5 linked regions of the Oryctolagus cuniculus genome follow. The protein of the gene in region 5 interacts with the protein of the main gene of each other region in a biochemical or structural test. Links are inferred from orthologs where the notes say so. Each region holds a gene or a part of one and is shown on either strand. Other genes may lie near its edges.

Region 1 (4,033 bases), on a different chromosome or scaffold from region 5:
AAATACACAAGGCTTGGGGTAGGGGGAGTCGGCGCTGTGGCTCAGTAGGTTAATCCTTCGCCTGCAGTGCTGGCATCCCATATGGGCACCGGTTTGAGTCCCGGCTGCTCTACTTCCGATCCAGCTCTCTGCTATGGCCTGAGAAAGCAGTGGAGGGTGGCCCTAGTGCTCAGGCCCCTGCGCCCATGTGGGAGACCCGGATGCAGGCTCCTGGCTCCCGCCTGGCTCAACTTTGGCAGTGGTGGGCATTTTGGGGAGTGACCCAGTGGATGGAAAGCTCTCTGTGTCTGTCACTCTTTCCAGTAGTGCATCTTAAAAAAAAAAAAAAAAAAGGAGGCTGAGCCCCATGGGAGGAATCACGCGGAGACCCAGCAGCTGCTGTGGAGGTGGTGAATTTTATTAAGGGGGGGCGTCCACCGGGGCGGGGAGGCGGGGCGCGCGGGGCGGGGGCGGCCCGCGAGGCGCTCACTGGTTCTCGATGGGCGCCGCCGCGGGCGCCTTGCTGGGCATGGCGGCCTGCAGCTTCTCCACCAGCCCGGCCCACTGGCGCTGCATGTCTTCCACCAGCGGCTCGAACCAGCTCTTGAGGCGGGCCTGGAAGGCCTCGGCCTGCAGGCGCATCTGCGCGGCCTGCTCCTCCACCTTCACCCGCACCTCCTCCACCTGCTCGCGCACCTCGTCCAGGCGGTCGCGCGCGCGGCTGCCCACCTCCTCCAGGTGCCCGCGCAGCCGCTCGCCCCAGGCCTGCGCGCGCTCCCGCAGCGGCTGGCCGGCCAGGGTGCTCACGGTGGCGGCCCGCAGGCGGCCCTGCTCCAACAGCGGCCCGAGGCGCTCGCGGATGGCGCTCACGCCGCGCTCGGCGCCTTCGCGGGCCCCGGCGCCGTACACCGCCATGCGCTTCTGCAGGTCCTCGGCGTCGCGCAGCAGCCGCTTGCGCAGCTTGCGCAGGTGCGAGGAGAAGCGCGCGCGCAGCTCCTCGGTGCTCTGGCCCAGCATGGCCTGCGCCTCGCCGCGGTACTGCGCCAGGCGGTTGCAGACGTCCTCCATGTCGGCCTCCAGGCGCGCCTGCGCAGCCTGCAGCTCCTTGGACACGCGCGCCCGCGTCTCCTGCGCCATGGGGCTCAGCTGCTCCTCCAGCTCCGACTTGTAGGCCTTCACCTCCTTCATGGTTTCTTCCATCAGCATCCTGCGGGGCCCAGGGGGCGGGAGGGCGGGCGTGAGCTGGGGAGCCAGGGCTGGGTGCACGCTGGCAGCGACCAAGGGGCCCCAAGGACCAAGCGAGGCCCAGAGGAGCCGGCGAGGAGGAGGGGGCTTGGGAAGGTGCGAGACAGCCGGAGAGGTCAAACCGGAGTCAGGAGTGGGAAGAGGACGCAGGAGCAGGGCCCCCGACCCCAAGGACGCAAAGGCATCTAGACTGGCCGAGGGTGCAGAGGCGCCCCCCGCCGCCCCCCAGGAGGCTCCTGGTCAGGGCGGGGACACTCACGTCAGTTCCTGGGTGACCTGCGAGCTGAGCAGCTCCTCCTGCACCTGATCAGACAGCGACTGTACCCAGCGCAGGTAATCCCAGAAGCGGCCCAGGGCCAGCTCCCAGGGCTGGCCGGCCTTCCACCTGGCCTGCTCCGGCACCTCCACCTCCTGCTCCGTCTCGGCCCGGCATCCTGTGCGGGAGCAAAGTGGTCAGGGGCCGTGCGGGGTTCGGGCCGCGGGGGCAGAAGCGGGTGGGGTCTCCGCTCAGTCGGCAAACACTGATGGGCCTTGTGTGCATTAGGAACTTCAACGCCCATTTTATGGGTGGGGAAAGCCGAGGCCCGGGGGAGAAACAGCGGCTCAGAACCGCAGCAGGCCTCAGAGGTCTCAGCTCGGCGCGCCTCCTCCCCAGGACAGGGGGCTGGAGTGCGGGCAGGGGCCGCGCAGCAGGGGAACCCGAGAAAGCCCCGCCCCCATACCTGCCAGGATCGCCGCCGCCAACACAGCCCACCACACCTTCATCTTCCCGCCTGCGGTTGGTCAGTCTTGGGAGGAAGAAACTGTCAATCAACAGCGGAGGAGGACGGTCCCCTCCCCCCCGCCCCGGAGCCCAGCTCCGGCTGCGCCCGGGCCCAGGATCCCCAAGCCTCGCCCTGGCCCCTGTCTGTGACAGCCTTAGTCCGATCACAATCATTTCACCAAGCCGCCCCTGGGGGGCTGCACAGCTCCCGCATTGTCTGCTCCAGTCTCCCCATCCTCCGGCCGGCTCCGGGGCCAGAATTCCATCTCCCTCTCCCAGGGGTCGAATTCCACTCCCCCAGCCCCCCCACCCCCGAGCTTTCTGGCTCCAGGCTGGGCTTCTTGAGTTCCATGTCGCATTCCTCGTCCCGCCGTCACATTCTAAGCTCCAACCTCACGTCTAAGCCCTACTTGCCATGTAGGAGCTGATTGAACCACGGTTTTTAACAAGTCGGTCTTGGGACGTAGTCCCTGTTTCCCGAGACCCCAGTTGCGGAGATGGGGTGCCGGGAAGGACAAATAAGTGGCAGCAACCGCCCCAGGGCTCGCTGTGGCTCCAGCTGCTGCCCCACCCCAGCCCCAGCCAGGATGGGATGTCCCTGCCTGAGGTCCAAGCCCTGCTTCCAGCCTCAGCCCTGCTCGGCCGTCCTTCTGTCCCGACGCAGGCACAGGCCACCACGTTCTCTCCCACAGCCCGTCCCCAAGTCGCTCCCTTGCCCTTGGACCCCCCCTTTCCCTGGAGGCCCCTCAGCCCCCCGCTGTGCTGCTCACCGCCTCCTGCGGAACCTCGCCTGCACCTCGGCTGGGGCAGAGCAGGGCGGCAGGGATCCCTGACGGGTCCAATTATAGGGCTCCCCCTGCCCCGCCCCTCCCCGGGGCCAGGGCGGGCTGGGCCAGCCCCCAGTCACGAGGTGGGCTGTTCTCCCCCCTCGCACACAGCAGGGCGAGGAAGGAGGTGGGGCTTGGAGGCCCCGTGACCCCCGCCCCCAGCCCCTAGGAAGGGAGGGGCGCCTCCCTCGGTGTCCCACGTCCTCTCCACTGGGGTGCAGGCGGGGACTGGGCCGGCTGCTGCTCCAGCACGCCTTCCCTGTGCCCGGCTGGAACTTCTGGGTTCTGGGAATGGATGGGGCTTAGGACCCCCACCCCCCAGGGCCTGAATGAAGTCGGAGTGGAGTCTGGACTCCCGGCTTAAGTTAGGGCACAGCAGGAGCCCAGGCAGGGCTGGGGGCAGCGTGATGAAGGCCAGCGTCCCACGGTCAGGGTTTCTGTTCCAATTCCCTCCCAGGCGGTGCAGGTGCGAGCCTCTGGGACCCCCCCCCTTGTTTACTGAGATCGCAGCACCTGGCTGGCAGAGGTGGTGGGCCCGCCCGCCAGGAGTCACCCACACGTCCTCTTCCTTGCAGTTTGCAGGACTGTTGGGGCTTGCATCCTGGCACTGCGCGCTGCCAGCTGTGTGACCTTGGACAAATGACCTCCCCTCTCTGAACGGCCAGTTCTTTGCCTGCACAACCAGGCAAGCAGCGGCATGCGCCCCGCAGGTTTGGTGATGCAGGAGTGAACGGCGCGTGCCGAGGCCAGCGCCCTGCACACGGTGGGCCCACACCTGGGCAGCCTAGCGCGCTCCAGCAGTCACCTTCCCATGGGCTCCTGCCCCCAGCTGTCCCAGGGACTCAAGGCCCAGGGCTGGGTTGGGGGCAAAGCCGCAGCAGGCACTGGCAGTCGGCCCTGTTTCTCAAGGCGCAGGGGAGGCGGCCTCCCCAGGTAACTCGGGGACATCACCCAGCAGCCTCCTCGCCAGGCCTCGGGGCGCGGGTTGGCCAAGTGCTGACAGCGCCTCCTGCGAGGCGAGCGGGGCCGCACCCCTGCACCGGGACTGTGTCGCTCCAGCCCCAGATGCAGCAGTCCCAGTAGCTCTGCTTGAGGCTCCAAAATTCCAGACCCGCCTCTTCTGGAAATCTGCGGAGGCCGGGGGCCCAGTTCCCTGCCCCGTCTGCACGCAGCCATCCGCTGCCTCAGTTTGCAAGGACAAAGTCCCCCAGGCTGCGGC
Region 2 (4,148 bases), on a different chromosome or scaffold from region 5:
GAGCGACAGATAGCAGAAATAACCCAAGTGGCAAGCGGCATTCCAGGCATGATTGGATAAGAGCAAGGAGCTCTCATCCGCGCTGGGCCGAGGGTAGGGTGGCCAGGAGCACATGACCGCGCGCTCCCCCTCCAATGCCAGCTTGTGGACTTAGTGCGGTTTCCCCCTTCTCCTCCTCATTTTTTTTTTTTTTTAAACAGCGAGGGCCTGAAACAGCACCTTCCCAGCTGTTGCTTTTCCATCAGCAAGGAGTGGCCCCAGCAGGGAGCTCTCGCAGCTGCCTAGGGCAGCAAGCACCGGGACCCTGGGCTGTAAATCTCCCAGCACTGCGCTGGCAGGACGCTTCTCTCCCAGCGGAGCGGAGCGGAGCCCTGGGACTGTCCGGAGGGCGCCGGGGGCCCTGCACTGCGTACAGAGCGCCCACGGGGCTTCCCAGCTCCCACCACCCCAGGCAGCGACAGGGAAACGCGGCGGGGGCTGCGCGAGGGGGGAACCCCTTCCCCAGGCGGTGCGCGCTGTGTTTCTGTTATTTATGATATCACTACCCTACGATGCCGGAATGCAAACTCGTAAAACGTACTATAAATACGATTACACGCCCCCACCGAATCAGGGTCCCCCTCCTGAGAAATAATTAGACCGTGATCTCCAAGGAACAAAATAGCTCCGTGGAGAGACAGAGGGGCACAACTCGCTCTACGGCCATTTGCCGGCCCCATCCGCCTGCTGTTAGGACAGTTTTCAATTAAAAGGCCTGTGTGTGTGCATGTGTGTGTTCCCCTCATTTATATTATGATTATCAGACGGGGAAGCAGCAAAGGACAGGAACTCAGCTGGTGAAAATATTTGCTTACACATGCCAGGTAGGATTGGGGGAAAAAAAAAAAAAGAAGGAAAAATCAAGCCGTGGTGTGCATGGGGTTTCTGCGGTAATTTAAACACCATCCAGAAGAAATGCTTTTAGGGGAGCTGTTTTCCAGTAAAAAGTCGGCAACATTGCCACAGTTGGGCTACAACATGGAATCCTGATATGTGTGCAAGGAGCCAGACGGGACCTAAGAAATAAAAGTGCACATTCAAAAAGCTGTCATCAGATTTGCAGTTCGCTGGGAAATATTCTGAGCGCTTTAAACTTAACTTTTCTATGACCCAGAAACATCAGTTATTTAACAAAGGTTTATTTAGGAGGGGGTAAAAAAAAAATTAGGAGGGAAAAATGCCAAGCTGTGAAGAGTGACAAAAAGTTTATTTTAAAATCTGCAAAGCATGACTTTGTCAACAGCTCTGGAGCCCAGGGTGTGGAGGCTTAACCCTGTGTTTACACACACACCCCAAGTGTGTTCTCAAAGCATGGGTCTTACATGCCCAAAATGACCTGAGAGAAATGGGAACTCATTTGTTTAAGGCTGAGACTTCCAAGTGCTGCTACAGACATGGATTATCTTTGTTGCATTTATAGCCAACAAAGGAAAAAACATCAGCAACACTACAGATGGCCTTGGGGGCAGAGGTGGGAATTAGTAAGACACAACCTTTCAAATAAAGCCTGGGGTCGTCACTCAGGATCTCCGCAAATCTGCCCATTCGAAGCCCATTCTGAAGACTGGCAACGCAGTTTCCCACCCATGGCAAGGCTGGCTCCACCACAGGCATTATGGTAGACCATGGAAATGGAAACTTAACTTTTAAACAGTGGATTTTTCGTAACACAAGAAAAATAATGAAAAGCCATCACACTCAGGAAGGTGAGGATTAGCCATGGGCGTCTCCCAGAGTGCAGGGACCTGCTGCTACCTGACTACTGCTAACCCTAACCTGACCACGGTCTTCTGGAAAATACTCCCAAGCATATGGGATCAAGCATCCTCCCAAAGTCTTTAGCAAGGGTCAGTTAGCTGGCTGTTGCACCACGGGGCTGAGACCTAGGAGCCCAGAAAGTTGGACCTGGCACTTGCTCTGACTGATGTATTCCGTAATCTGGAGTGCCAGTTGAATTCTGGAGAAAGAGGGGTCCATAAGAACGTTCCTTTTCATCAATCAACATACGTAAGCTTCCGGAAAGGTAGGTTTCAATCCAGCCAAGTGCGCTGGGTTGTAACAGAGGGTACTGGAAGGCCTTACGTGATGGTGTTCACTGTCACAGAGGGAACACGTGGTTCCCAGGTAACTTGAGGGATACGTTCTGGTTAGTTAAGCAAGCAAGCTGCTTCAGCCAGGTTTTGCTTCTAAAATGAAATCGCAGATTTCATACACATGAACGTAATATGCACACACACCAATCTATATATAAAATGTTCACTTATACCATTTATATGCCTCGGGCATATCTTTGGTTTTTTAAAAGTACTAAGGTTCTCTCTTAGGAAAGTACCACTTTAAAAATACAACTTCATTTCACCTGCTAAGTATAGATTCACATTATGTTACATACTGTTAATTAATTTTTGTTTTCCTAGAATCACCATAGATTTACTATTAATGGCATCACAATGTTGTAGTCTGGCTTCCACTTTTAAAACCCCACAAGGCTGGCTTACACGCCTGATGGCCCCTTTACAAATCTGCCCACATCCGGTACATATTCCCAGCACCACTGTGTTAAGCATACAGACTGAAACCATCACCAGTGACTGCCACTGATACTCACTGTGATGAAAATACACACATCCCATAACTCCACTGCCCTAACAACACAAAAACAGAATCTTTACCGGCAGTAAAATAAAAATGGTCTTCCCTTGGGTTGTGCATAGTGTTCTAAGCTCTACACAAATACAACATTTGAACGATGCTGCTCCAAAACTTAAAAGTGGAGACCTACTTACCAGTCTATTTTCGTCGAAAACTTCAAACAGGAGTCTGTGATTAGATGGGTTTACCTGCAAGGGATGCACACAGTACTTCAAAAATGAGCAAGAATTCATTGAAAGAATAATGCCTTAGAATGCACTGAACTGAGCTGTGCAACATCAACAATTAGCATGCTCTTCTGGAAATTCCGGAACACTGATATTATCAGTTTCTGCATTATTCTACCCCCGATACTCAGGCCTGTTAGAAGAAGAAAAGGCTCTTGGCTATTTTTCTGAAATAAGAAAGGACAATTCTAAACACCTTTCAAGAGTTCCTAATCTCTACAAAAGGCATTCCCACACCTGCAGACCACATCTTCACCAAGACCCCTGCCTGCAGGAATCGTCCTGGCCTAATTATAGCAATGGTAATGATAAAAATTATGCAATGAAGAGAATGCTCCTCTCACTTATTTGCATTTATTTGTAGGCACTCTCTCCTGGTTAAACACTTACAATATGTGATTTAATCCTCACGGCAACCCCACAGTGTTTAGCATCCCAATTTGACAAACGAGGGGCTGAATCCATGAGGGTCAAGCAGGCTATCCCAGTCAAAGCTAGCGTGGTGGGTGGCCAGGCCCCACGCAAGTCTGGCCTGCTGTCTCCAGGACCCAGGTGGCAACCTGCAGAGAGAGCTGGGAATAAGGGATGCTTCTCCGCTCAGCAACCTGTGGCCAAGGTCAAAGCTACTGCACCTGCAGTGTCATTTTTGCTTCTTTCTTGTTCTTTACCAAAACCTAACCCAAATGGTCTTGGTGCTCACGCACACTCGGCGTCATTTAGTAACAGCGAGCACCCACGAGACATGGTGCTGCTGTTCTGATTTACATCATCACACGTAAACCTGGAAACCATCCTCTCCCATCTGAGTACTTAGAGCCTTTGGGTGATGTTTCCAGGGTCACAAAGGCAGGAAATGGTAAAGCCAGAGCTGTGACCCAGGCAGGACGCCTTCCAAGGCCCCGGCTGCCTCAGAGAGAGAACGGAACTGCTTCACATTTGACCACACGTGTGCAGAAGGCTCGGCTTTCTGCTCTGGCCCCTTGACCTTTCCGCAGTCCACTGACCGAGCCAGCAGGTGGACAGTGGGCTTCTTGTCTGCTCCTGAGCCTGGTGAAGGGCCGAGCTGCTGACCAATGCACCTGCAGGCTGCAGCAGGAGCTCGCACAACAAAGATGTGTGGAATGAATAAAGGCACACACTCAGGAAAAGAAAGGATATCCACAGCCAAGATTGGTTGAGAAAACTTTTGAATGAACTACAATTTTCATAAATGTGGCCAAAGTGTTCTCC
Region 3 (4,235 bases), on a different chromosome or scaffold from region 5:
TACAATCTATACAATCTACTCATTAGCTCTATTGCCTTTTTTTTTTTTTTTTTTTTTTTTTTTTTTTTTTTTTTTTTTTTTTTGGATAGGCAGAGTTAGACAGTGAGAGAAAGAGAAACAGAGAGAAAGGTCTTCCTTCTGTTGGTTCACCCCCCAAATGGCTGCCACAGCCAGTGTGCTGTGCAATCCAAAGCCAAGAGCCAGGTGCTTCCTCCTGGTCTCCCATGCGGGTGCAGGACCCAAGCAATTGGGCCATCCTCACTGCCTTCCTGGGCCACAGCAGAGAGCTGGAGTGGAAGAGGGGCAACCAGGACTAGAACCCGGGGTGCTGACGCCGCAGGCAGAGGATTAGCCAAGTGAGCCATGGTGCTGGCCAGCTCTATTGCTTCTTTTTCTTTTTAAATCCTTAGAAAGTACAGGAGTAAATGTTTAACAAATCATAACCGCTCTTCCCTAATAAATTCTTGAAGAATAAACTTGAGATAGTTCGGCTATTTACAATAGTTAAGGAGCCATGCTTTTGACCATGAACGGGCCAGACCAAAATTTTGATATCAGCTAAGTGTATAAGTGCCAGAGCGGCTTACAGAATGGAATATAAAGCTCCCAGATTTACATGAACATTTCCTCTTTCAGAGGAACATCAGAGGGTTTATCAGAGTTCACTCAAAAGAATCTACATCCCCTGTGCAGAGGCTCAGGTAGTTAAACCACTTCCTCCAAAAGCTGCAAGGACTCCATCTGAAAGCATGGTACCCAGGGGGCAGGGACCGGGGAGAAAGACACGAAGGGTGGAAAGTACTGCAGTAACTTGGGTGGTGAGAGGAAGGATGTGGGTGTCTGAAGGTTACTGTGAAGCAGGCAAGAGACAGTCTCCAGTCTCCTCAACGCCAATTCAATGTTTTGATGTTCTCAGGTACTTGCTTAAATAAAAGGGTGAAACAACATCTCTGGGCAGACAAGATCTCATTTCAAAAGATTAGGACAGTGGCTTGAGACTTGCGAAGAAGAGAGTCAGCTTGTCAACACCAATTTCATTGATTCAGAAACAAGATTCTTCTGAGCCCACACCAAATTCCTTCCACCCCAGCTTTTAGTTATCTACCCCACAAAGGGGGGGGGGGCACACACGGAGGTGGGGACCTTAAGAGTAAAGCAACTTCAAGAAGGCTGGAATAACTGTCCTCTTACATCTAAGAAATCCTGCAGCTGCCAGTCAACACTGCAAGTCTGTGAATACACCAAAGTGCCCGCACCTGCCAGCCGGCATCTGGAGGGCTTTTATTTATTTATTTATTTTTTGGTAAATGTGGATAGAAAGACTCTTGAGAGAAGATGGACTGCTTCATAAGCAAGAAAGGGAAGCCCCGGGGAAGAGAAACCAGAAGCATCGTGCCTATCCTTGGGTACTTTGTGTGTCTCCTCTATGCACTGAAAGGGCTCTTTGTGCCACACACACACACACACACACACACACTCACACACGGCGGGTCTGGGTGATTTATTGGGGGAAGGAGGAGCCAGAAGGGTGATTTTATTATCCCTCTCCTCAGTGAGTCCCAGCAAATCCTCTCCTGGGCCTTGGCTGGGTGGCCTCTTTTCTGGCCCAGTCCCCTCGGCCTGGCCTGTGGCCGCAGAGATAAGAGAGGGGAGGGGACCAAACAAAAACAGCCATCGATCCAGGGAAGTCGGGAGGAAATGCAGCTAGGGAGCCGGGAGGGGAGGAGAAAGGAGGTCCAGGGAGCAGCAGGGGTGGGGGCCGGGGGGCCGGGAGTCCAGGAGGCGAGGGGACAGGGAAGGCGGGCGGCGGTGGCACTGGCAGAGCGAAGGGGAGGATGGCGGAGCGCGGGAGGTGCCAGGAGTGGGTTGAGGACGCGAGGGGAAGGCGACGGCCCCGAGGGCGGGGACCGCGAGGTGGAGTGGGGCCGAGGTGGGTGGGGAGGGAAGCAGCACGGGGCATCAATTATTAAGTGATTACATCATCCCCGACATTAAACAACACACACAGCCCGGTTCCCGCGGGGGGCCCGAAAGGAGGGCGGGGGCGGAGTCTGGGCTAGCCTCGCCCCCAGGTCAATTCCGATTTTCACACGGCACCCGCTCGCGGGCAAGGAAAGGGCCCCATCCCCACGCTGCCTCGGGGCCGCGCCCCGCAGAGGTGGCCTCGCTCGGCCGCGGGAAGACCCCCCGCACGCGCGCCCGCGCGCGGCTGCCCCGCTGGGCGCTCCGGAGGCGGCGGTGGCCACGGCCCAGCAGCCGGGCACCGCGGCGGAGGCGGCTGTGCGGGGGCGCCGGCGGCCGGGGGTCCCCGCAGCATCCCGCGGCCCCCCGCGCCGCATCTGCGGCCGCTTACCTGCGCGGCGCCAGGCTCCGGAGTCCATTCACATGGTCCTCTCCTCGCCGTGGTCGGGCGCGGCCTTGGCGGCTCAGGCAGCTGCCGGGTGGGCCCTCGAGAGCGCCGAGGGGGCGGCGCCGGGGGGCGGGGGTCCCCGGCCCGGCGGCCCGATCCCTCCCTGGCGCGGGCGGCGGCCGCCGGGCGGTGCGGCGCGGGCGGCGGCTTTGTGTGCGCCCGGAGAGTCCTGGGCGCGCAGGGAGAAGCGCCGCACCCGGGCGGCTGAGGACGCACGGCTCCAAGCGCAGCCTCGCCCCTGTTCCCGCGGCCGGCCGGCGGGCGGGTCTCGGAGGCCTTGGTCTCGCGGCGACCCCTCCTCCTCTCCCGCGGCAGCCCCCTCCCCGCCGGCTCCGCTCCTGACAGATGGCGCAACTGCAAAGACGCGCCGCCGCCGCGGCTGCTCGCAGCGACTCCCGCTGATGCTCCGGCCCTCGGGCTCCAGAGGGGAGCGAGCAGGGGGCGGGGGCGGCCCCGAGAGTGGCAAGGCTCGCCGTCCTATCAGAGGGCCCCGTGGGAGATGCGAGCCTCAACCATTGGTGTGTGCGGAGGGGGCGGGACGGCCCTGGGTGGGGCCGCGGAGAGGGTTGAGCGTTACTGTGGCAGCGGCATCCCGGCGTGCGTGCGGGGTGGGGGCGCGGGAGGGTGCGCGGGAGGAGGTGCGGGTGTGTTTTAGAGACTGGGGAGCTGTGAGTTAGGGGAAGATCAGGGCGGGAGAGCGTCCGTGGGAATCGCGGCTTCTGCTTTGCAGAGGAATGCAGGTGCTACTACAGATTGGCACCTGCCACTCCTCCGAGACCACGGGAGCCTGCGGCGGGAGAGCCTTGCCCTTTGAGGGCGGGGGGTAAGACGGAGGAGCGTTAGGCTGGTGACTGCAGCCCTTCCTCGGATCGAACTGGAGAAGCCCCGGAGAGCCCTGGAAACGCGCAACAGAGGACGCGAAAGAAGAGGAGACGAAACTCGGGTTCTGCCGTGGGTCCCCCGTTTTCGTGGACACACATATTCGCATTTCTGGCGAAAGTCTGGAGCCAGTGCTGCTTAAACGAGGGCAGGGGTGGGCGACGACCCGGGAACTCGAAATCACAGAGCAGAGGTTTCTTTGTGCATTTTCCCCAAATCATGTCTAATTGTAGCCGTGGGTTGTCGTTGGTTTCTCCTGTGTTTTTCCCTCCACTGAGTCTGGGCGTCTGCTCGGATTTTCCTTGATGAAATAATAGGCGGGTTCGTATACAGCTGGGAGTGCATCAGCCTTTATTTCCTATCCAGCTTTTCTATGGCAGGATGTCACTTCATAAAAAGAAACACGTTGGCTTCCTGATTTTCTTTATAGGTAATTCCTGTTTACTGAAAGTTCTGCTTTAAGGCGTGTTCGGAGTCGTTCTTCTTAATGGTTTTGGCAAGAACCTTATATCCTTCCCTCTCAGCAAATCACACGTTCTTAGAAATATAGTGAATCAGCTCCTGCATCTATGCTCAAAATCTATACCATTGCTTTCCTGCACACTTCTTTTCTTTTTGCTGTAGTTTAAAATATGTCGGTCATTTTTGTAAACAAAAAAAATCCCTTTTTGAAAAATTTACTAACATTACACCATCTCCATTTTGTGAATGAGGAAATTGAAGGAAAGCAAAGTTGAGTAACTAACTCAAAATGATAGTATACAGTGGTGACTTTTTTTTTTCTTTCTCCTTAAACAAAATGAGAAGCCATGTTTCAGTTGTGTCTACTAATTCGTTCCATCGTCCCAGGAAACAGAATGAGAGCTAACACTAGAATCTTTTCCATATGCTAGAACTCCAGCTTCCGTTTAGTCAAGAATCGCTTATCTCACGGAAAGGGGCTCTT
Region 4 (4,298 bases), on a different chromosome or scaffold from region 5:
CATGTACACCTGCACTACAGTAAGGGCCTGCAACTAGCAAAGATGGGATAGAGCAGAGAAATTCATTTGCTCTGGTCACTTCCTTTTAACACCAACAAACAGTAAATGTCAAATTACTAAAACATTCCCAATTTACTATATTACAGCCTTTCCCTCCCCCACAAAATACTTACTATGGAAAAAAGAAAAGTTATATTCAAAACAACATCCCTTCTTTTTAAATCCTTTCAGTATTTTATTTCTGTGATGTCCAAAGATCCTTAATATCTTCAGATCTTTTCTGGTTCCATACCCAGAAGTCACACATCTTCGGTCACTGATTACTACGCCCTCCAGAGGCGTAAAACTTGAAACACATTCAAGGTGTTTCCCTACCCCCTAACCAAGCTGTAAGTACATTAACATTGAGATGCATCAGAAACAGCCTAGAGGCAGGTGTTAAGCCACTGTCCCTGACACCAGCATCCCATACCAGAGCACAGGTTCAACTCCCGGCTGTCCCACTTCCCAACCAGCATGCTGGTGACACTCCTGGGAAGGCCGTGGAAGACGGCGCTTGGGCCCCTGCCACATATGTGGGAAACCAGGATGGAGTTCTTGGCTCCTGGCTTCAGCCTGGCCCAGCCCTGGCTTTTGTGACCATTTGGGGAGTGAACCAGTAGATGGAAGCTCTCTCCCCATAATTCTCCCTTTCAAATAAAAAAATCATAAAAGAGAAGGCAGCCCACCCTCAAAGAATGCATACATTAGCACACTTGGGTCCTGTACCTTCTTCTCTTTGCCTTGACTGGCCCAGCTCCGGCTGCTGGGGCCATTTCGGGAGTGACCCAGCAGATGGAAGACATCTCTGTCTCTCCCCCTCTCTTTCTGTGAGTCTGCCTTTCAAATGAATAAACAAATTAATAAAATAAAATGAAATTTTCAAGATGTACAAACGCAATACAAATGGGAACTGGGGTCAGCACTCCATGCTCCATGATAAAAGATATATATGTGTGTATATATATATATATATATATTTTTTTTTTTTTTTGCCTAGGATTGAGGCATGAAAGCAGTGTCTGCAAAGTGTGTGGATTGACACCTGGGAGACCTGACACGGCCTGCACACACATGCAGCCCTCCTCAACCTCCCCAGGCAGCCCTGATGTGTCTGCTAACTGCGCCCTGGCCGCGCTCCACGGCACGTGGTGTGTGGCGACACTGCCCCGCAGCGGGGCTCTTTGATGGGCACTTGTCAGTCATCGCCCAGAGGAGCGCCCGGCCTCGAGCCGGCCAAACGCGGCCCCGCGCTGCCAGGCTCCCCTAATGAACTTTCCCAAGGAAAGCGACGACGTTCCCACAGGAAAAAACAACGCGCTTCCCCCTCCCGGCGGCCCACTGGAAACCAGCAACAATGCCGCTGCCTTTTTGTTTCCTAAAGACTTTTCTTCTTCCCCGCGAGCAGCAGCGTGTTCCTCAAAGAATGCTAGTATTTCCTGTGGAAACTGTATGGCTGCCAGCAGCGGCTCGCAATTCTCCCTTTTCTTTTCGTCAAAACGAAATACACAAAACGTGGCAGCTGACAATAGCCCCCCCCACACCCCCGAGCCGGTGCCCCCCACTCACCACCACCTGCACGGGAAAGTCATCGCCCCCGGAGCCAAGGCCCAGCGACACGGTCCCCGCCCGCGCCGCCACGCGCGCCCGGGGCGCAGGACCGCGCCGGCGGGGGCGCCGGGGGGCCGCGGGGTGCGGGCGGGGGGCTGCGCGCCCGGTGCCCGGCGCCCCTCGCCGCGGACCCTGGCGCCGGGCACTGCTGCTGTCCCGAGCCCCGCGCTCGGCGGCCGGGCGCCGCCGCTCCGCCCCTGCCCGCAGCCCGCACACGAGCCGAGGCGGCCGCGAGAAGAATAACCCGCGAGGCGCGCGCCGAGGCGCCGCACAATCCCGCGGCCGCCGGGCCGCCGCCGCCGCCGCCGTTACTATAGCGATCTCCCCGCCCAGGGCCCGCGCCACTCGCGGCACAAAGGGGGCCCGCGGCTGGGGCAGCAAAGGGGCGACACCGCCCGGGGTCGCCTGGTGCAAACTTGGAAAAGGCTCGACCGATCGATCGCGCGGCTGGTTCGGGGACCCGGACTCACCGCGGGGTGGCGGGGTGGCGGGGTGGCGGGGTGGGGGGAGATCGCGTGGAGAGACGGACGGACGGACAGACGGACGGACGGACGGACGGACAGCGGCGGGAGCTGGAACAGCGCGACCAGGCGGGCGGACGGGCGGGCGGCGGAGGCGCTGCCGCGGCCCCGCTACGTCACAATGCGGCCGAGCCGCGGGCGCCGCTCCCCGGGCCCCCCACGGGCGCGCGCGGGCGGGGGGCAGCCCCGGGGCCGGCGCGGACACACGGCTGGGGGCCGGAGGCGCGGCCGCCGCGGGCCAGGCTGCGGGAGCCGCCCCGCGCGCCCGAGTGACAGAGAGCCCTCCCCGCCCTCCCGCGCGCCGCCCCCGCGCCGTCCTCACCGCGGCCCGGCGCCGGCCCGCCAACCTGCTCGCTCTCCGCTACCTTTCGCTCCACCGCCTCCTTTTCCCTGGCCAGGGCCCGCCTCTCCTCCCCGCCTACTTTGTGGCCCCCGCTTCCCACTTTCTCCTCCCCGCCCGCCGGCCTCGCCCCCCTGGAAACGCCGGCGCCCCTCACCGCGCGGGCCGCGCGTCCACGGCTGCCGCCTCCCGCACGCACGCCCGGGGCCGGGGTGAGGGCTGGGGGAGAAATTCGGGCAGGGTCCCGGCGACAGCGACGTCTTCCGCCCGGCGCGGAGCTGCCAGCCAGCCGCGACCCCTCCGGGGGGCTTCGCTCGGAAGGCTCCGTGCGCGGTGCCGGGGGTGGAGGAGGAGGAGGAGGTTTGCTCTGAAGTCGCGGCTTTCACCCCAGCCCTTCGGGGTGCCGACGTCCACGCGCGGCTACATTAACTTGACTTTTGCATCGGTGGGCCGAGGCGGGGGGCGGCGGCGTCGTCTCTCCTGGCTTCCGAGATGCAGGCTCGCGACGACCGCCGCGCGGTTGCTGCCTTGGCAAAGCTCTCCATGGTTTTTAAGACATCTCCTTCCCCCGGGCGAGACGCCGCCAAGTTGGCTCGGCAGCGCCCGTGAGGACCACCCTCGGGTCCCCCGGGCGCGGCCACTGCTGGCCGGCAGGGCGCTGCCCCCCGGCGACGGGGAGGAGGCTGGTCCTGGGCGGTGTGGGGCCGTCCTGGCTCCCAGGCCCGCCCCGGGGGACGAGATCCCGGGCACCCCAGCTCCGTCCGGGCGGTGGCAGTGGGCTCTGTGTCCTGCGTGGGCCTGACGGGGACAATCCGCGATGGGAGGGAAGACGCTGGCTCTTGAGACTGGGTCGAGTCTCCCCAGGAAGGGGCAGGTCCCTGCCCTGAAATGACCAGGGCGTTGAGGTGGTGGAAGAAGGTTCACTTGCTGTGAATTCCACTTCCCACTGAAAATCTCAAATTCTCTCTCGGCTTCTGCCATGAACAGCCGAAGAGTGTGTCCTGCGCTGTTGTCACGTGTTTACTGTAATTTCTCATGTATGACACTTCACATAGGTGGAAAGTGGTTTCACAATTTTAAAAACACACGTTATCCCGCAGTAGAAAATATAAAATCAGATGACATCATAGGGTGCTAAAAATACTTGAAAATATTGGGTTTAATTCACTCACATCTGGTTAAAATAAAAATGCTTTTTTTTTCCTAGTGTAAACTCTGAGAAAAGCACATCGTGCTTCTATCCAGTAGATGGAAATGGTGTCGCTGTTGACATGACCAATGAGAACTGTATTTTCAGTCCCTTCGTCTTGAATGTTTTGACACCTTGTTCTTTTATTAAATCAGATTGCACTTTATTGATAGAATCATTGACTAAGGAATTCTAACTATGTATCTCTTCCAACTGTCCTAAAAATCCACTGGTTCTAACAATGAGCCAGGTGTTAACTCAGTATCAAGGATTCAACCAGAAAAGACTTGGTTGTGTTGTCTGAACCAAAAAAAAATGGGTTGTCCTGGAAAAAAATTGTTATTATTTTTTTTTGCATAGCCAAAGCAGTTTTGCATGCCGTCGTGTTACAAAGTCATCTTTAAGATGTTTCAGATAGTTTCCCCTGTTTTTTGGAGTTCTTTTGTTATGTTTTTCTGTTTCCAGCATGTTTTTGATTACATATTCAAAACCATTGTTTCCATGAGATGATTTTTACACTGTGATTTCAATCGGTGCCTGTATACACTTTCCCACGTAGGCTGAGAGTTTGCTTTGGTCTGGACTGCGTGTTGGTTTG
Region 5 (4,294 bases):
GGCTGTATCAAAGTCTTATTTTATAATTGCCAGACATTAAAATTAGTAAATATTATTCATCATGATAAAAGAGATCAATAGTCGATGAATTATTTTGATCATTAGAAATGTTTTAATTTTTTAAAAAAGGACTAAGTTTTCCAAACAGCCCTCTGAATACAGCCACTCATTCATTGGGGAAAAAAAGGATAAAAAAGTTCTAAGTGTTCTAAGTGTTACTGCAACATTTAAAAATCTGGGGAAACAAAAGATTAGCCACATTTTCTCACGATTAGCTCAAACATACACCTTCACATTCACCTACCTACCCAGTCCTCCGACTCAATCCATCCTTTTGACAAGTGATGATGCAAGAACGAATCACGTGAGAAATGTCAGCATTCTTGTATCCATCATTGTAACTAATCAATCAGGGACCAGTATCAGAATGACATGGGAGGTGGGGGGGCTACCTACCTACATAGAGAACACCCTCTTTTGTCTTCCCTGCAGCCTCTGCCACACCCTGTTTGGTTTTCTCAGCGGCAGCCACAACTCCCTCCTTGGCCTTTGAAAGCCCTTTCATGAACACATCCATGGCTAATGAATTCCTTTACACCACACTGGAAAACACAAAATACATGCTGAGTGAGAACTTTTTGGTAAAAGCAAGCAAAATTCAAACCATCCAAGCTAAAAACAAAACAGAAAACGAAAACACTAAAAATCTGTAGAAATCCCCAAAAGCGTGAAAACTCTTTGACGTGACCCCTCATTTCAACCACCTGGACAAAGCAGTCCGCCCCTCACTCCCACCCCAGCCCACTCCCCTTAAGCTTTAGCTTTAGGAATTTCTCCTCCCCCATCCATCTTGACTCATGCTGACCAGGGAGAGCATCTGAGCTGTTCTTACTGCATCTCAGAAGTGGAGTGGCAGGAACAGATGCGCCCTTCTTCCAACTTCCCAGGGTCCAAAGGGTGACCCTCTAAGTCAGCAGGAGGTTTAGAGGAAAGACCTCAGGAAAAGGACGGGAGCTGGGGGCCATGGCCAGGCGCATCCTTAAAATGAATCCCAGAAGAGGGGTAACAGGTTGATCCCAGGGGAGGGAAGAGCACTACTCACTCTGCATGTGGTTAAACCGCAAGACAACAAGGAAGGAGCCAGGGGACGCTCCTCTGAATCCACGGTGCCCTCCACCTCCGCCCTCTGCTATCTATCCGGAGCAGGCGCTGGTCTTCACCCGCTGGCAGCGTCCACACCCCTGCCAGCCACACTAAAGGGCGTTCTCAGCCGCACCGCACCCCCAAGCACACCTAGCGCCTGCACCTGTTAACCCCTTCCTACCTGTTGCCTTGTCCCCTCTGCACTTTATTTAGAAATTGGCCAAAGCTGTTTCCTCTCTTCTCGGGAAACAGCGAAAAAGCGGCCTACGGGGTGGCGGTTACCGTAAGAGAAGAAAAGTTGGATGCTCTTGCTCCACCCAGCACCCGGCGCTTCCGCGGGGAAAACGCACCCCGGAGAAGCCGCTGATTTCGCAGCCTTTGGGGAGGCCGGGGAGAGCTGGGTCAACATCCACTCCTGACGTGCACGCGAGGGACCTGCACGCCCCACCAAGAGCCTGGACACCGCGGTCCTGGGGTGCACCCTACCACCACCCCGCGTCCGCGGCGGCTCCTCTGCCTTCCCGGGTTTCTCCACGATTTCCAAAGCTGCCCGTTCAGAGCCACAGGTACTCACCCGAGAACTCTGCTTCTCCGGGACTCCGAGTCCTCCCCTCCCCCCCTTTCCCTTTAATTTAAACAAGTGCCAAATATTATTTAAACGGGCCAAGGGAGGGGACGGGAGCGCACAGGAAGGGCGGAGGCGGCGCCAAGAGACGGATGATCCCCAGAGGAGGCTGCCGTCAGCGCAAGCCAGCGACGGGAGGCGGGGGACGTGGGAGGCACACGCGCGAACCTCGCGTCCAATTGCCACTCCCCGTCCCCCGCACGGAGGATGGGGGAGGAAGAAAGCGAGGGTCGCGAGGGAAGGCGGGCGGAGGGCTGGAGGTAGGCGCAGGGCGGGGCTGCGTCCCGGGGCTGCCCAGAGGCCAAGCACACACCTCGCTGCGCGTCAGCACACACTCCCGCTCCGCCGTCGTCCCGCTCGCGGGCCCCTGGTCGCGGCCGTCCTCCTCCTCGCCGTCCTCCTCCACCTCCTCCTCCGGCGCCCGGATCTCCTCGACTCACCGCCCCCACGGCTGATTTGTCAGCGCCTCTCCCCGCCCCTCTCCCGCGCTCGCTGCGCTCCCGGCGCGTGCTCTCGGCTCTCGTGCTCCGTGGGGAGGGGGTGCGGGGCAGGTGGCCCCGGCCACTGCAGCCGGCCGCCTCGGCCTGGGAGGCGTAAAGGCGCGGGGCCCGGTGCTTCACCGCAGGCTCAGAGGCACCGGGAACGTGCGGACCTCCGGAGCGCTTTGGCTCGGGCTGAGGTCTCTTCTTTCCACCCGCTCCCTCGCTGTCTCCTTTCCTCTGGTTTCTCGGGGACCTCGCTCCCAGCAGAGCCTAACCCTGGGGCTTGGGGACCGAGGAATGGGCGTCGCAGCCGAGCCTGGCTCCGGGAGCGGACGGAGGAGACACGGGGCGCGGCGGGGGCGCCTGCACCTGCCCCGCGTCAGCCCGCTTCCTGACACTTAGCACACGGCCGAGGGGCGCCTCGTGCAGGGTCGCTTTTGTTCGAACATCCTCGAGGTTTTCTGTTCTCGCTTAACCCCGGGTGAGCCCGAAAGGGTCCCGCGGGCAGGCTGGGGACCACCGAGCAACAGATACAGGTTCGGGAGGCACGAGGGGACTCGTCAAATCGTCTCCCTACCAGGCTCTCACCATTTTCTTTTCCACCAATCAGCGGCTGCCAGAAGCTGATTTTTTTTTTTTCCCCATCTGTGAAGCAGGCAATAAATATTCCCCAGCCGTCGAAAGCGAGCGGCCCCAAGGCTTTTCGCTCTGGAAACGCGGCTTCGTTTCCAGACCCCAGGACAAGGTCTAGGAGGCAAATCCAACGTGGTGCACGTTGCCCTCCGAGCTGACACCCCCTCCCCTTACACGGCACACGCGAGAGAGCCCCCGCCGATTTCTGCGTCGTTTAACGCATTTTCACCCTTGTCAGTGCTGGGTGGAAAACAGCTGTTCCTAGATCACACCAGAAGGGAGAACCAGGCTCCCCCCCTCCAGCAGAAGGCCTTGCTTTCCTGGCCCGGTTCTTGGAGATGGGCTTAGCACGGAGGGGAGAACAAGGCTCTGCTGCCTCGTTTGTTCCTTGGTCTGTTTCTGTTTTTCTGCCGCTTGCACGCATCTGGGTTCTGAAATTTGAGTCAGATGTGCTTTCCACCTATAAAGCACAACTTGAAACCACAAGGGATGGAAGCTAACGACTACATAGAAAGGATAGAGATAGCTAAATATATAGATTGTTAGATAAAAGATGGATAGATGACAGGTGACAACCAATACATAAGAAGGGGAGGGGATGGTGGTAGAAAGAAATGATACAGATAGATTCCGAAGAAAAAAAAAATGTGAAAATTAGATCACAAGTATTTATCACTTAATAGATCCTCACACTCCTTGCCTCCCTTTTGAAAAACAGCCTTTGGACGATACAGCCGCTCATATTTTGTTTTCCTGGGATCAGAGGAAGAAAGCAGACACGGGAGCTAGTTTGCCATCTGATTTTAAGGCCGTGAGCAAGTTATGTCCTCCTGTTTACAGCTTTTCCTCCTGTAAATGAGGAGGTGAACTAGATGATCCCTCTCTTTTCAGTTTTTTATTATGGAAAATTTTCAGACATGTACAGAAGTAGAATCAAAGACTCTCACATGAGTATCACCCAACTTTCACAATGTTTCAATGCCTGCCTAATCATATCTAACTATAAACACTCCACTTTATCGCTACCAATCTTCATTTTTAAGTAAATTCCAAGTTTTATATGCATATTTTATCTGTAAACATTTCAACATGGATTCACAAAATGTAAATTATGAAACAATAATCACCATAGCACTTGAGAATTTTTATTCTTGGTTATAATTTACATAGAGTAAATGCTCAGCTCTTAAGTGTCGCTATGTGTCCATTTTGAAAAATCTGCACTATTTGGAAAACCCAGAACATTTTCATCACCCCACAAAGGTCCCATGGACCCTTCTTAGGTGTGTACATTCTAACACTTCATCAAAATGGAATCATAAAGTATGAACTTTATTTCCTATTTGACTTCTCTCTTCTAGCATAGTATTTCTGAGACTCATTCATGCTGTTACATGAATCACTGGTTTGA

The links.
Region 1: the proteins of SNCA (region 5) and APOE form a complex in vitro, tested with the Homo sapiens proteins (2 studies listed by BioGRID and IntAct). The link is inferred for Oryctolagus cuniculus from reciprocal best matches to the Homo sapiens genes SNCA and APOE.
Region 2: of the proteins of SNCA (region 5) and NEDD4L, one has a biochemical effect on the other in vitro, tested with the Homo sapiens proteins (3 studies listed by BioGRID). The link is inferred for Oryctolagus cuniculus from reciprocal best matches to the Homo sapiens genes SNCA and NEDD4L.
Region 3: of the proteins of SNCA (region 5) and FYN, one has a biochemical effect on the other in vitro, tested with the Homo sapiens proteins (3 studies listed by BioGRID). The link is inferred for Oryctolagus cuniculus from reciprocal best matches to the Homo sapiens genes SNCA and FYN.
Region 4: the proteins of SNCA (region 5) and SNCAIP form a complex in vitro, tested with the Homo sapiens proteins (3 studies listed by BioGRID and IntAct, with this or other methods). The link is inferred for Oryctolagus cuniculus from reciprocal best matches to the Homo sapiens genes SNCA and SNCAIP.

The regions. Positions count from the first base shown.
Region 1 is NC_091449.1:11,763,898-11,767,930, forward strand, and holds APOE (apolipoprotein E), read right to left. Parts: upstream 2,801-4,033; 5' UTR 2,758-2,800; intron 2,028-2,757; 5' UTR 1,990-2,027; coding exon 1,947-1,989; intron 1,659-1,946; coding exon 1,484-1,658; intron 1,187-1,483; coding exon 466-1,186; 3' UTR 377-465; downstream 1-376. UniProt on the Homo sapiens protein: APOE is an apolipoprotein, a protein associating with lipid particles, that mainly functions in lipoprotein-mediated lipid transport between organs via the plasma and interstitial fluids.
Region 2 is NC_091441.1:20,111,254-20,115,401, forward strand, and holds the start of NEDD4L (E3 ubiquitin-protein ligase NEDD4-like), read right to left. Parts: upstream 2,810-4,148; 5' UTR 1-2,809. UniProt on the Homo sapiens protein: E3 ubiquitin-protein ligase that mediates the polyubiquitination of lysine and cysteine residues on target proteins and is thereby implicated in the regulation of various signaling pathways including autophagy, innate immunity or DNA repair.
Region 3 is NC_091436.1:59,710,852-59,715,086, reverse strand, and holds the start of FYN (tyrosine-protein kinase Fyn), read right to left. Parts: upstream 2,808-4,235; 5' UTR 2,354-2,807; intron 1-2,353. UniProt on the Homo sapiens protein: Non-receptor tyrosine-protein kinase that plays a role in many biological processes including regulation of cell growth and survival, cell adhesion, integrin-mediated signaling, cytoskeletal remodeling, cell motility, immune response and axon guidance.
Region 4 is NC_091437.1:12,007,097-12,011,394, reverse strand, and holds the start of SNCAIP (synphilin-1), read right to left. Parts: upstream 2,805-4,298; 5' UTR 2,669-2,804; intron 2,570-2,668; exon of another isoform or gene 2,494-2,569; intron 2,264-2,493; exon of another isoform or gene 2,121-2,263; intron 1,754-2,120; exon of another isoform or gene 1,609-1,753; intron 983-1,608; exon of another isoform or gene 769-982; intron 1-768. UniProt on the Homo sapiens protein: Isoform 2 inhibits the ubiquitin ligase activity of SIAH1 and inhibits proteasomal degradation of target proteins. Isoform 2 inhibits autoubiquitination and proteasomal degradation of SIAH1, and thereby increases cellular levels of SIAH.
Region 5 is NC_091439.1:75,753,341-75,757,634, reverse strand, and holds the start of SNCA (alpha-synuclein), read right to left. Parts: upstream 2,810-4,294; 5' UTR 2,082-2,809; exon of another isoform or gene 1,325-2,081; intron 1,291-1,324; exon of another isoform or gene 893-1,290; intron 603-892; 5' UTR 578-602; coding exon 457-577; intron 1-456. UniProt on the Homo sapiens protein: Neuronal protein that plays several roles in synaptic activity such as regulation of synaptic vesicle trafficking and subsequent neurotransmitter release.